2 linked regions of the Schizosaccharomyces pombe genome follow. The protein of the gene in region 2 binds, or shares a complex with, the protein of the main gene of each other region. Each region holds a gene or a part of one and is shown on either strand. Other genes may lie near its edges.

Evidence for each region.
Region 1: yip12 (region 2) and gem8 share a complex: the UniProt entries of both Schizosaccharomyces pombe proteins name them as parts of the core SMN complex.

What each region holds. Positions count from the first base shown.
Region 1 is NC_003423.3:2,289,942-2,293,273, reverse strand, and holds gem8 (protein gem8), read left to right. Parts: upstream 1-1,933; 5' UTR 1,934-1,970; coding exon 1,971-2,471; 3' UTR 2,472-2,679; downstream 2,680-3,332. Other genes in the region: cyclophilin family peptidyl-prolyl cis-trans isomerase Cyp7, read right to left, coding at 133-1,384, 1,475-1,579, 1,622-1,650, 1,691-1,696; Rieske iron-sulfur protein, ubiquinol-cytochrome-c reductase complex subunit 5, Rip1, read left to right, coding at 3,216-3,332. UniProt on the Schizosaccharomyces pombe protein: The SMN complex catalyzes the assembly of small nuclear ribonucleoproteins (snRNPs), the building blocks of the spliceosome, and thereby plays an important role in the splicing of cellular pre-mRNAs.
Region 2 is NC_003424.3:1,268,886-1,272,385, forward strand, and holds yip12 (SMN complex subunit Yip12/Gem2), read left to right. Parts: upstream 1-1,864; coding exon 1,865-2,031; exon of another isoform or gene 2,032-2,136; coding exon 2,137-2,485; exon of another isoform or gene 2,486-2,559; coding exon 2,560-2,751; 3' UTR 2,752-2,861; downstream 2,862-3,500. Other genes in the region: rsm22-cox11 tandem protein cox1101, read right to left, coding at 1-1,281; pex12 (ubiquitin-protein ligase E3), read left to right, coding at 3,004-3,087, 3,130-3,500. UniProt on the Schizosaccharomyces pombe protein: The SMN complex catalyzes the assembly of small nuclear ribonucleoproteins (snRNPs), the building blocks of the spliceosome, and thereby plays an important role in the splicing of cellular pre-mRNAs.

The sequences.
Region 1 (3,332 bases), on a different chromosome or scaffold from region 2:
CTTTGCAAGTCACTAATTGACCATTCCCATACTTTGCTTAAAATGTAATTATTATTAGAATTTACAAACGAAATATGTGAAATATTAATTTATACTTAAAAGAAGCATAGGTTTTTTTTTCTTTGTAAAACATTAAATTATATCGCGTTTCATTAAAAGCTTCTTAGGCCTAGCACTTGGAACATCTTTAAGCTCTTCTGCTCGTTGTATTCGAAGTTCTTCCGTTCTTCTTGTTGGATCATTTTCAGCCACCAATCGATGCGCAAACCAGTTGCTGTTCGTTTCTGTTATATTTTTTTCGCCAAGCCTATCAAAACATGAAAAGCAACCAGGAACATTGTGTAAGCTGCAAGGTGTGTCTTCTATTTTGCTACCATATTGACTATCCATGACATCTTCATCTTCTGCATTTCGAATCTTGCTTTGAAATGATGAAAGTGCTCGAAGGGTCGACTCTTCGTCATTCTCCAAGTTTTTTCGCTTCCCTAAGACAACTTTTTTGGATTTTTTATACTTTTCAAGTTCCTCAGTCAAGATGTTCCGTTTTTTAGGACGTACAACCACGGGTTTCGAGTTTGAAGAGCCACCACTTTTTTCTAAGTCACGAAGTTCAGACTTCAAACGGGAAATTTCTTCTTGTACCTTGGACTTAGAGGAAGAATTTAACTTTGTATCTAAAGTGTCTACTTGCCTAGCATATTCATCGGAAGAGACTTTAGCAGAGGTCAATCCAGTTTGGGCAGACGAGTAAGTACTGTGAATTGAGGATGAAGATGAAATCAAATCTTTACTTAACTCAGTCGTAGTATCAGATGATCTGGATACTGGCGTTTTCTGCCTGAGCGGCTTTTTTACAATAGGCATATCGACTTCATCGCCAAAACTGAGAACTGCTTTATTTCGTCGTCCGGATTTCAATAATTTGTTTCTTTCTTTCTGTTTTTCCTGGTGGGCTAGCTCATTGGCAATTTTCTCTCTTTCTTCTTTAGTTGAACGAGGTTTTATGTCAGTAAAATAATTGTCAATTACCTCTGTTGAAATTATTTTTGGGGGAAAAACAGGTCGTTGGTTGGCATCTAACTCTAACTCAGATATCCTTACTACATTGTAAATGGTATCCCCTACAACACGTCCAAATAGAGTTTGCTTGCCATTCCATTCAGGTGTTGGACCTAAGGTGATAAAAAATTGAGAGTTGTTTCCCTCATTTTCAGTACATGCCATTCCCACTAATCCTCTTCTTATAAACCGTAACCTAGGATGTGTTTCTACAGCAAAAGGTTCACCATATATAGATTCACCACCCATTCCAGTGCCAGTAGGATCTCCACCCTGTATCAAAAACTCTGGTACAACTCTATGAACAATGGTTCCATCGTAATAACTGTATTTAATTAGTATATTTGTAAACCCGAAGCAGTTTAATGTTGCAACATTTGGGACTACAACGTTGCTCATCAACGATTTAACTTACCCTTCCAAGCATAACTGTATAAAGTTTCTACAGGCCTTCGGCACTTCTTTGCACCAAAGTTCTATCTGGATATCGCCGCGAGTAGTTTTAAGGATGACAGTCCCCCTATAATGTTAGTAAAAGTAACTGGAAATCTGAAAAACATACGTTGCCAAAGGCTCCAAGTTGGTCAAAGTCTGAGAGATTAGTCGAAGGGAGCAAGAAAAATATACTTACGGCCATTCCATAAAGTACATCAAATATTAAGGATCGCTAAATTCTTAAAGAAACTACTCATCTTGTAAGTTTGCGTTGTTAGTATAATCCTAACGTATTACCTTGTTTTGCTTTAATTGGGTTATCAAATTCACTACGATACAGTATTTTAATTTGGGTGATTCATTAAATGTTCTAGCGTAGCTTTGCTCGTTCATCAAATTGATTTCATCGCAACTTGTTACAACTAGCAAAGTAATCCTTACTGAATCCAATATTGTGTAAAACCACGGAACTTTTAATGAGTTCTGAAATTACAGAAGGAGACTTACAGAAATTCCATGATGAGCATTTTAATGCAAAAGCAGTAAACCTATGGAATGTTGCTTTCGCGCAAAACGATCGTGGGGGAAATTCAGAAAGTGCAAACGTTGAGTATACACAAAGTGTAGAGCGCTATCCTGATGGGACTATACGAACGTTAACAGATGAGCAAATTCTTTGGTTCCGTGAATCGGAAAAAAGGGAGTTAATGTGGAAAAAGGAGAAGGAGCAATTGTTAAAAGAAAAAGAATTAAGACAAAAAGCACTGGACAAGGAGAGAATGGTTTCTTCCAAACCAGAAACCAACCCAAAAACACCAATCTCATTAAAAGAATTGAAAGATATCGAAATATATCAAAACCAGTTCCATTACTCGGCTTATGAAATTTTAGAGGAAGAAAAAATACTTGATAATATTTTTCGCAAGTTTACTGCATTACCTATCAAATATTGGCCGGCAACACCAATACGAGGATAGAACGTTTTATGAATTGATGATGTTCAATAGAGTAGAAAAATTTCCTGCATATTAATGAAGGATACGCTTAATATTCAATAAATGTCACCAATCTTCATGAATACATTATACATAAGTATATTGCATTTCTTCTACATTGAACTATGATTAATGATATATACCAATTCCTTAAAATAATTAAGGCTAGTGAAAGAATACGATAATTTTCAATCTAATACTGTTGTATTGTTTTATGCAGGTGCTGTACCTTGTAAAGTGATGAATGATACTACTGTAAACATCTAAATATTGGATAATATTATAATCTCCAAATAGTTTATAGCTGGACGGAAGAACGTAAATCCAGCTATGTTCTTATACGGAACCTAGTAAAATAGACTGGAAAATTATATCTGATAAAACAAAATGATCTCTAGCGTACCATAATATTGGAATTTGAAAGATATAGGATTTTCGATTCGTGATGATATATGTACTGCACAGTCTAGCACTATACTGTACTGATCGTTAAAAGTAGCTGTAAAATTATGTTAATTTTTTATTGTGTACTTCGTTATTTTTCGGAGAACTTCGGATATGTAGTTTCATCAATCGGTGAATTCGGTAAATACAACTAACCTTCTTAGCAAATCACAGCACCCACAAACGCCGCCATTTTTAAACCAGAGGCAGCTTGACGTTTCTTCCCCAACCGCTACCCACCGAATATTTCAACAACCTGTTTCTCTTTAAAACGTTGTAAAAATGCTGGCCAAGCAATTTATTTCTAAGTCGTTAGCATCTTCGTTAAGACGGTTGCTTCCCGTTTCAAGCACTGCTTCGTCGTTGAAGGGCTCAATGATGACCATCCCAAAATTTACC
Region 2 (3,500 bases):
AATTATGACATGTCCATCTCGCTTCAGTGGAGGTCGAATTATACGTGGCCAGTTTTTAAGAGTTGGAGATGTAACATTCACATTTTCTAGTAAATCCTCATCATTCTTGAACCTTTGTGTGGTATTATTAAGCGGTCTAGTTATACCCTTTTGAATAACAACATAACTGTAATGAGAGCGATCCGAGGATCGACGATGAGAACGAGGGACATATAGACGGGAAAATGGGGATAGGAAAAAATGTTGTTTGAAAGAACAAATATTTGCTCTTACCCCATTTTCTATATCAATGGGGCAGCGACCATCGTGGGGACAGGGTGCTACAATATGGGCATTGAATTGTTTATCAGAAGTATTTTTACTTTTTTGCAATAGAAATGTTCTAGCTCTTTGAATCAAACTAAAGCCACGCTTTGTGCCTCGCTCGCAGAGCACCAAAAGACCACCATCATTTGACACGAGACTCCAAAGCGAACGAAGATAATCAAAGAGTTCTTTCTCCGATTTCATTTCAAGAAGCTTGTTAGATGCAATAACTAGAGTGTATGAATCCTTTTTACCCAATGGTAGACGGTTAAGCGTAACAGGGCTAGTTGGATTCGGCGAAGTTGACGGGTAAATGTTATGGTGAATATCATATATGATTTTTTTCAAAAATGGGTTCTCCTCAACAATTGAAACTGAATTAGGTGTGGGAAAGACTGAATAACTAGCTAGAGCACCAATACCTGGACCTTTACCGCAATCCAGTATATGTTGAGACTTGCAAGACACATCACTGTTTACAATTTTCAAGTCAGTCAATACGCTGTATAGAGAAGCATATTGATACGGCATAGACTGATGAATATAAGCTAAAACTTGGGGATCTGTCATAGTCCGAGTAGATTCATCTTTGAATGGCGCAGACAATGGAAGCTGAGATTCCGTAGCCAAATCTTTTTTAATATCATTAATAAATTTTTTAATTTGTCCTTTTTCGCTCTTTTTCAATAAATCGTCCACATATAGATTAAATTTTGTATGCAAACTAATATCACCACTTTTCTTTTGATCCTTTACCAAAAAGTCGAGTAAACTGGAAGCTTCTGGACGATGTGAAGAGATCAATTCGTTTTTATAATCAGAAAAGTTGTTTTGAACAGCTTGAAAATTTGCATTATACCACCTAATGGTAGTGGTTGTTCCATATGGTATGAGACATCGCTGATTTTGAAAAGTAAAGCAATTCCGTAAATTATAAAGAAACAGAATTTTATATCTGCATGTTAGAATGGGCATATGTGCTGCTCAAAACACCAATTCACCAATGAACAATGGGATTTGGGGATAAAGCACTGATCTGTATATTGTGTAGAGTAAGTGCCTGATTAAGTGGCCGCAGATGGTGTTACTTGCGTTGACAGAAGAATGAATAGTACAATTTCCTACATATCTATATGTTTTATGTTTATTAAATTAGTTCAAGGATAGGCAATTCTGTCTGAGTGAATATTCTCCCAGTTTTAGCTTCTTATACACTTCAAAAAAATGCAAAACTTTGAACTTCTTTGAAAATAAGAACAAGTAATAAATTTTATGATAGTAAAGGAATTATCAAGAAATAGCTAAAATTAGTTTTAGCATTACACTTGATCAAGATAGACTCTTCACATTGATAGTTCTACAGATACCTCTTTAACCTTACCATTCTATTATACTAGGGTAATCTTCGATTTACGAAACATTCCTTGTTAACTAACTACAAACGAAAAGTTGCCGGAAAAAAACAGCCTACATTCCTTGAGTATTTTCATGAAAATTCGGTAATTCTTTTCCATTTGGTTTATATGAGAAGTTTGCAATTGTACAATAATAATTCAAAATGCCCTCGAAAAGAAAAAGAAATCCTTTACAATATCAGACTTCAGGATCATTAGATGAGGAAACAAATCAACGCAGCGCTTTTCCACAAATCGACAACAATAGTGCTTCAGAATCTTTGGAATATGATATACCACTTGATGGTTTAGATTATTTAGCAACTGTGAGGTACGAACATTTATATATGAATTTTTGTGAAAATCGAAATTTGCAACATGAATGCTTTAATCTAATCATTGTAACAATAATTGGGCTTTTTACTGACAAGTTCAGAGAAGAAGCTCGCAAGCTAGTTCCATTTGTAGCGGCGCGTCGTGAGCCTGAAACAAGAGAAACCATTCCTCTTCGCAAATTGGAAATCGAGGCCGGCAAAAAAAGCTTTGACCCGTTTTTACGATACTTACTAAACATAATTGATAAAGAAGGGGAAAGGCTTGAGCAATATATGGAATCTTCTTCATTGGACGCATCTATTTTACCTAAAAATTTACAACAATGGCGTGTATATATTGAGCATAAAGCTCCTTGTTGGGCCATATTAGCAGTGGTTGATTTGGCAACTGTTTTGGAGATCCTAGAAAGCTTGTCCAGCTGGCTTGAAAAGGACGCAATTGATTTACAGGTTGGTAACAAGGATCTCATGCTACTTTGCTGGTGTATTTTTGTTCATTCTAAAATTTGCTAACATTTTTCTAGAGTCAATGGATTTTTTGCTTTTGTTATAAACTTCCTGAGCTTTTGAATGGAGAAGATATATCGACCCTACGTTCAGTACTCAAGTCTTTACGAAGTACGCATACTTCTTTTCCTGCTCTGCAGATGTCAGCATCTGCCCTTCAAGCAGTCTTAGTTTATCGATATGGACAAAAAGATCTCTTTCAAACATAGAGTCTATAAATCTTGGTCGAAAAAAATTTAGGTACACATGTTCATATAGCATACGTTTGTTTATAGGGAAAAAATTAAAATTGATAGCTTGTTTTAAATATGTTTTTAGGATATTATTCCATTAAATAACTGTTTAAAATTTCAGTTTTTATTTGCAAATTTACAGTAAGTACTCAAACTACAAAGATTCTAATGGATCTAGTTCAGTCCTTTCCTTGCTTCAACGCACTTGTCTAAGGAGCTATTCAGTCAATGGATTCGCCTTCATTATTGGAAGTTTTACAAGTTCAACAGGTGGAAAAACTTATATCACCTTCATTAAGGTTTATACTAGCAGTAAGTAAAATAAATAAATGATGATAAATTAATCTCTTTCAGTATTTCACACATCGATATCCAAGATTTTTATTACGGGCATATAATTCTTTTGATGGTATTTATTTATTGGTAAAACTTTTACTTGAGAAATCTCAGCTTAAAAAATGGAATGCTACATCTGTTGAAAGAAGGTTTCAACTCAAACGAGTAATAGCGGTTCGTGACAGTAGTATAATCGCTGAGGAATTCCCACAAGAATCAGAGTCCGCTACTTCGCTCAATGGGATTGACGTGTTAAAAAAGTTGTTTTTAACTTATTGCATACCATATTTGCTTGAAAAGTGCGAATCGTTAACAACGGTTAAAGAAAATCATACTGCCGTTTCTATTCTCTCATTACAGGCTCGTGACAAGCAGAAAGGGGCTTTAAG